Canis lupus familiaris: one gene and its partner. The protein of the gene in region 2 binds, or shares a complex with, the protein of the main gene of each other region. Links are inferred from orthologs where the notes say so. Each region holds a gene or a part of one and is shown on either strand. Other genes may lie near its edges.

Region 1 (4,338 bases), on a different chromosome or scaffold from region 2:
CCACTCCACCACCTTCTCTCACTCTGCCTTCTGTAATAACTTCCGAGCTGGTGTCACTACTTTGACTAGGGCCCAAATTACCTCAAATTGCAATACCCCTGCCAGGGTGATCCTTTGCCAAAAAAAGTTAAGTTTGATCTCTTCACTCTTCTGCTCAAAACATGTCAGAGACTTCCCAATTCATTAGCCGACACAGCCAAAATCCTCGTTTCGGCCTAGGAGACCATGATCTGGCTGGCCATGGCTATTTCATTTTTTTGCTATTCTCTTACTTAGATCCAGCCCACAGGCCTGCTTGCCCCTACCTTGCATCCCTTCCTTGCTGTTCTTAGGATGAAACACTTTCCCACAGGTTTCTTAATTCATACTTTCCTCAATATGAATTGAGCAATTTTTTTCTCTTAAGATTTTATTTACTTATTCATGAGAGACACCACAGAGAGAGGCACAGACACAGGCAGAGGGAGAAGCAACAAGCTCCCTGCAGGGAGGCCCAAAGCAGGACTCAATCCCAGGACCCAGGGATCACGCCCTGAGCCACCCAGACGCCCGAATGGAGCAATTTTCTTCCATCATCTTATGCACACAAACTTATACGCTCTCTGGTTTTCTTTCTTTTTTTTCTAACCCCCTTCCTCTTAGGCTTTTATCTAGTTGGCAGTGCTCACATTTTTTAAGTGCTTTATCTGCTAAATTACTTAACCTCACAGCAACACCGAGGTAAGTACTTAATTATTCTTATTTTTCCAAGAGGAGGCTGAAACACGGATGTTAAGCCATCGCCCTACACCGCACGCCCATCAAAAGGTGCAGGGCGGGGATTCCATCCCTAGGAATTCTAATCCTGAGGCCAGGCTGTCAAAGTCGATGCCCAACAAGGGCTGCCTTTCTCATTACTTGGAGATGTTGGTGTTCCGTGCGCTCGCTGGAATGCAAACTGCAATCCCGAGCTTCTAGTGGAAACTACGGTTATCCCCGGCGCACAGCAAGTCCCCCAATAAACGCGGAAAAATAGGATCAATTTTAGCTCATTAAAAAAATCGTCGAGCTCAAAAAAAAAAAAAAAAAAAAAAAGTACCCCCTGAAGGCTGTTTTTGCACGGTCCAGAGCCAAGGCTCGGTGGCCGGGGGCAGCAACGGAGGCACCAGGCAGCGTGGCCTGGACTGGCTGGCGGGGGCTGCGGGGGTTGCGGGGGCGTGGCTGCAAAGGAACAACTATTTTGAGCACAACTGTTGACCCCGCAAGCTACAGATTTGCGCGGGGAGCTGAGCTAACTGAAGCACAAGACGGGAGCTCAGCGAAGGACGGCAGGCGACACCGTTCCGGACGATGGAAGCGACAGGCGGAGCCAAGACCCGGCGCGGTCGAGGGCGCCCGTGAGGCCCGCCCACGCACGTGCGCCCCGCCCCCAGCGCGAGGTGGGATTGGCCCCCCTGGTCCCGCCCATCTCGGTGGCCACGCCCCGCAAGACGGGCGCGGGGTAACCCGGAAGCGGTAGTGAGGCCGCCCCCCTCCCCCCCGCCCACGCGCGCTGCTGCCGCTCTCTTTCCGGTCGGCGTGGTTTTGCGAGCGGAGCGGTCGCCGCGCCCGGGTCTTCGCCATGAGCGTCCCGGCCTTCATCGACATCAGCGAGGAAGATCAGGTGGGCTCCCGGGCCGCGCGTGCCTCCGGCGGGGGGTGCGGTTAGGGGAGTCTCGAGGCTGTGAGCGGCCGAGCCTGGACCCCGCGAGCCCGCTCCGGGGCTGAGAGGCGCAGCTCACGCCGCCCTCGCGAGAGTAGGGAGGAGGCCGCGAGGCGAGGCGCTAAGGCCTGGCCTGGAGCCGCGTTAGCTCTCGGAGCGTGGGCTCGGGCGCCGGGCCCGCCGAGGTTTCGCGGCCGGCTTCCTGGTTGGCGTCGCTCTTCCAGGCCGTGTCACTCCTGGCGACACTACTTTCTGACTGACTGGGGATGGTGTCTGCTTCCGTCTCCCCAGTGCAGCCACATCCGGAGTGGGAGGTGGCGAATCTCCAGACGACGTAAGCAGTCCCAGGGAAAAATGATTTCGTATGGAAGACGAAGTGGTTTTATTATATGATCCCACAGGCAGGGGTGACCCCCTTTTAAACGAACGAAGGCCCTAGAGTGAGGGTTCTGAAACCTGAAAAACAGAACGTCAGTTTCATCCTCATGCTTTGAGGCATACTCATGTGGTGAACCATCCTAGTATTTTTTTTTTTTTTGCAACTCCAACTAACATAAAAATTTGGTTTCCATAGAAGAAAACACCATTACTATTCGAAGATAACTCTTAGAATTACAGATGTTGATTTTTTTTTTTTTTACCCCCCATGGTAGAAGGGCAGATCCTCAGCCCTGAAGAGTAGAGGAAGAAGGGGAAATGAAAGGGTGGGGGAGGGGATTAGGGGAGGAGATAAGGCTAGGAAAGGAGTTGAGCTCATTGGAAAGGAAAATGTGGAAGACCAGGGAAAAAAGCATATATGGTTATTAATGGAATCATGTTATCAACAAATTGGCTATTAGATTGCCTCAAAAAAGTAATTGATTTATTTTTTAAAAATATTTATTCATGATAGAGAGGCAGAGACACAGGCAGAGGGAGAAGCAGGCTCCATGCAGGGAGCCCAAGGTGGGACCCGAGCCCGGGACCTCAGGATCACTCCCTGGGCCAAAGGCAGGCACCAAACCGCTGAGCCACCCAGTGATCCCCTCAAAAGTATTTGATTTAACATAAAGAAAGAACTTGTAGATGTAGGATGTTCTTGTCGTTGGCCTTATTTTAGTGTCATTTCTAGTTAGGTTATGCTCCTCTTGTAATATATCAGTTTGACACCAGCCATTCCTTTCAGGTGGATACGTGACTGCTTCAAAGTTTAACTTTGGTGAAATTCTGTGTTTGATTAGAGTAGGAAATGGGAGTTCAGAATTTTGTCTTTTCCTTTACTTGTCCTACTCCCACAACCACTTGTAGCCAGTGAAGCTGACCGATACAAACAAACTGTTGATTTAATGGTTTTTTTTTTTTAAGATTTTATTTATTTATTCATGAGAGGGGGAGAGAGAGAGGCAGAGACACAGGCAGAGGGAGAAGCAGGCTCCATGCAGGGAGCCCGATGTGGGACTTGATCCCGGGACTCTAGGATCACACCCTGGGCTGAAGGCAGCGCTAAACCACTGAGCCACCTGGGCTGCCCCGATTTAATGGTTCTTAGAAAAAGTTTGCTTTGTATCTACAAAGCAGAAGCTGAACAAATGCTTTTTTGGACCATATTATGTTTCCTGCATAGAAAAACATGTTCCCAGCAGTGTTTTTATGTTCTGACATGGTGACACTTGTTTCATGAAATCTTGTTTGTAATGCAACTCATAGGTGAAGTTATCTGCAAGGATAGCGCCATCAGGGCTACAGATTTAATGTACTTCTTGTAGGTAGCCAAACGTGTTTGTGGGTTTAGAAAATGTCATACTTGTGCATTTACTAATGGTATCCTTTCATCTCCCTGCTTAAGTTTTTCATATTACTATCTTAAATACCATCTACATTCATGTTTGGCTGCCATAAATACCAAGCCCTCAAAAGAGCACCTTACTAAATATATATATATGCATTAGACTAGAAAATGTCTGAATACCTATGTTCAGACCACAATACCTGTGCTACTGTAGTTATGTTTTTTTAGGTCCAAGGGTGCTTTCTGATCCAGATAGGTATTCTAAAAGACTAATTGCCAAGTAAATCCAATTTGAAAAGTATTGTATTCAAGACAACATTCAAAGGCATTTTTTTTTATCTTTGTGTCCTCCCAAAATGCTTGTCTCAGATAGATTCTCAAACATTTTATTAACAAATAATTACCTTCTTGCCAAGGTAGTAGCAAATGTCTGTAGCTTTTTTAAGTAGCTCTATTATGTACACTTGAGAGCAAAAATATTTCATTTCTTTAAAACCAGTTGAATTTGCTAGGTCAGATTAATTTTCCAGCATACACAGCTCCCTCAGAAACGCTTTGGGATATATTAGAAGCTTTTGCTATGTACTGGAAGTTCAGCAGCATATAGGTGATATGAGAGAAATTCTAAAGGTGATCCATGTGGGCCATAGTGGGTTTCTGTAGTCACTTGGTCTTGTAGAGGAAAACCTGTGGCTTCTGTGGGGTGGTGATGGGGACTCAGGAGGAGAGGTACTTCAGCATGATAATTTAAAGTTGTTGTTAAGTGAAGTATTCTTATTTTTTAAAAAACAATGGTTTGAGATCTTGAATTTTGGCATTGTCCATTTTATAGATGTATAGCAATCTTATTTGATTCAACAGGCTGCTGAGCTTCGAGCTTATCTGAAAT
Region 2 (3,583 bases):
GAGTGCAGTTAAGACATGCCAAGCACACACCAGTGCACAGGAGAATCACAGCAACTCTAGATTACTAGCAACTCGTACAGAGAGAAAAATCACACCTTCCACAGAAGGGAGAATGATCATTATGGCCCGCTTGATCCATTTTAAAAAAAGAAGGATGGCCTCGACGGGATGAGCACTGGGTGTTATACTGTATGTTGGCAAATTGAATTTTAGAAAAATTTAAATTAAAAAAAAAAAAAAAGGAAGGATGGGGGGGGAAAGTCAAGATAACCTAGATCCTTCTTAGTTCTAGGTTTCAATTTCAAAGTTACTTAACTTTCAACATGATCCGAAAAAAAAAAAAAAAAAAAAAAAACTTTCAACATGATCTTCTACTCTGATAAGTACTCAACAGGTAATGACAACAATGAGCTTAAACAAAGTGAGAGCTTTAAACTATTCCTCTGGTCATGTTTCTTACTTTATTTACCCTTTACCCCTGGAACACTCTGAACTTACCTATCTATAGGACCCTGAACATGTCTTTTATATCACGTACCAACCACAGCTGCAGGGATGGCACATAGAAATAGAAGCCCTCCAATGACAGGGGATGGAGAAGGCCAAAAAGAGTCACAAAGAAATAACCCTGAGCAAAGGCACAGCCTTATAAGTCAGTCTAATATTTAAACCTCAAAGCTACAGGTCTCACATTTCATCCAATTCATCCAGCTGATAAATGTATTTAAAGCAGCAGTATACTTATTTTGGGTCCAATGACTTATCTTAATAATTTTTTACTTGATACTCCTAATTATTCAAAACCCTAAGCACGTTTTTCACTCTAAGCAATGAAATCTCAAATATAAATATTAAAAACTCCTTTCTAGTATCTAAGTAAGCCAGTACTGTATTATTTCAAAAAAGGAAGTGTCTTCTAAACTTTCACAACTAGTAACATATTCACCTGGAACTTCAATATTTCACTGCAATCACCTTCTCAACCCCGCCCACTTACCAAAAGTTTCTTTTGCTAATTCAAGGTCTGACTCTTCCTGTAATTTCTTTAGCCTCAGTTTATCTGCTAATAGTTCTTCTGGTGTTAGCACTTTAGGTTCTTCAGGTTCTTCTAACTAAAATGAGACAAAAAGGAAGTTTTAAAACATCTGGCATTGTGATGGACCAGTACATTTTTGTATTGCTAATATTTTTATTAAACATATAGAAATAGGGACGCCTGGATGGGTCAGTGGTTGAGTGTCTGCCTTTGGATCAGGGCGTGATCCCAGGGTTCTGGGATCGAGTCCCATATCGGGCTCCCTGCAAGGAGCCTGCTTCTCCCTCTGCCTGTGTCTCTGCCTCTCTCTCTGTGTCTCTCATGAATAAATAAACTTTAAAAAATAAAAAATAAAATAAAAGATGGAACTGACATTATAGAAAAGGGAAAACCTGTACACTCATATCTGCTACTAAAGACTATATTTTGAAATAACCTTTCTAGGGCAACTTAGTAAGATGTATGAGTCTTAAAATACTTTTATATGGAATCAAAGAATTCCACTTCTAGTTATTTACCATAAGAAACCAAAGATGCATACAAACATTTAGCCACAAGGGTGTCCAATGGAGTATTACTTATAATTTCAAATACATTTAGAGACAACCCAAATTTCAACAGAATGGTTAAATATGACAACACAGATGATCCTCAAATAACATAAGTTTGAACTACATGGGTCTACTTATTCACAGATTTTTTTTTCAATAAGATTTATTTGAAAGAAATAATAAGCAGGAGGGAGAAAGGGAGATAGATCTGAAGTACACTCCGCACTCAGCATGGAGCCCAGCACGCGGCTGGATCTCATGATCCTGAGATCATACCTGAGCTGAAACCAAGAGTCCAGTCCAACATTTAACCAGCTGTACCACCCAGGCTCCCCATCTTTATGATTTAATAACATTTTCCCCCTCTTTTTTACTTTATTGGAAGAATACAGTATATAATACAACTACAAAATTATGTGTTGACTATTTATATGTTAGCAGTAAGGCTTCTGATCAAGAATACACTATCATATGCACCCCAGGTGGCTCAGTGGTTTAGCGCCGCTTCAGTCCAGGGCCTGATCCTGGAGACCAGGGATCGAGTCCCACATCAGGCTCCCTGCATAGAGCCTGTCCCTCCCTGTGTCTCTGCCTCTCTCTCTCTTTCTCAGGAATAAATAAATAAAATTTTAAAAAAAGAGTACGCTATCAGTAGTTAAGTTTCGGGGGAGTCAAATTTGTATGTGGATTTTTTTGACTGTGCAAGGAGTCAGCACCTTAACCCTCAATATTGTTCAAAAGTCAGCTATACTATGTAGACATAAAAAAAATGTCTTTCTCCAAAGAATCATAAAAAGAACTTATCTTTTTATATTTGTTACTATTACAAAAGTAACACATTGTTATTTGTTAACAAATTTAAACACATACCATGGAAGTTGTCACTTATTTCCCAGTCCTACTCCTCTCAGATGACTGTTAACATCTTTATACTGTGATATTTCCTATAACAAACGCATTATTTTACTATAAGGGAAAGTCTGTGACAGTATTTACTGAAGTGGGGAAAAAAGTAAAGGAAGCTTGTGCCATTTGTGATCATCCATGTCTATGCAGTTTGCAAATTCTAATTCAGAAGTCTAGTTCTGTAATACATAGCATTCTGTTTCTCATGGAGAAGATGAAATGAGAAACGTCATTATGCCAAGTTAAAGAAATATCAGAATACTTTCTTGAAAAAGGGAAATATCTTGACTTAACCATCTTAGCAGATCTGGACATCATGAAGTATCTCCTGCATCAAAAGTGAATATACTGAATACACTATCAAACTAAGGTTTCTTTACACTGGAGACTAATACCAAGACACAACAAAAGCAGTATAAATTTCAACTTCAATGACCAAGAAAAATCTAATCAAGATGGCTTCTTAGACTGAGCTATAAGATCCTATTGCTTGTCCTGATCATAGAAACACACATGTAGGGATCCCTGGGTGGCGCAGCGGTTTGGCGCCTGCCTTTGGCCCAGGGCGCAATCCTGGAGACCCGGGATTGAATCCCACATCGGGCTCCCGGTGCATGGAGCCTGCTTCTCCCTCTGCCTGTGTCTCTGCCTCTCTCTCTCTCTCTCTCTGTGACTATCATAAATAAATGAAAAAAAAAAATTAAAAAAAAAGAAACACATGTAGCTATTTTTAGATACACAAATATAAATTATTAAAAAGTATCTAAAATGTTCCCGACTGGAGGAAACGGGCACTTTCATACATTGTTGGCAAATGCAAACTGGTTACAACCCCATACAGAGGGCATTTTGTGAACATTTATCAAGACCACAAATATGATTTGCCTTTTCATCCAGCAATATCTCGCCTGGGAATTTATCCTGCATATATGACTACACCCATTAGAAATGACCCACATGGGATGCCTGGGTGGCTCAGTGGTTGAGCATCTGCCTTCGGCTCAGGGCATGATCCTGGAGTCCTGGGACCAAGGTCCGCATCGGGCTCCCCACAGGGAGCCTGCTTCTCCCTCTGCCTGTGTGTGTGTCT

Evidence for each region. Proteins that work in one complex are often made in the same cells at the same time.
Region 1: EIF3J (region 2) and EIF3M share a complex: the UniProt entries of both Homo sapiens proteins name them as parts of the eukaryotic translation initiation factor 3 (eIF-3) complex. The link is inferred for Canis lupus familiaris from reciprocal best matches to the Homo sapiens genes EIF3J and EIF3M.

The regions. Positions count from the first base shown.
Region 1 is NC_049239.1:35,364,080-35,368,417, reverse strand, and holds the start of EIF3M (eukaryotic translation initiation factor 3 subunit M), read left to right. Parts: upstream 1-1,484; 5' UTR 1,485-1,600; coding exon 1,601-1,642; intron 1,643-1,832; exon of another isoform or gene 1,833-2,015; intron 2,016-4,310; coding exon 4,311-4,338. UniProt on the Homo sapiens protein: Component of the eukaryotic translation initiation factor 3 (eIF-3) complex, which is required for several steps in the initiation of protein synthesis.
Region 2 is NC_049251.1:11,510,412-11,513,994, reverse strand, and holds part of EIF3J (eukaryotic translation initiation factor 3 subunit J), read right to left. Parts: intron 1,113-3,583; coding exon 998-1,112; intron 1-997. UniProt on the Homo sapiens protein: Component of the eukaryotic translation initiation factor 3 (eIF-3) complex, which is required for several steps in the initiation of protein synthesis.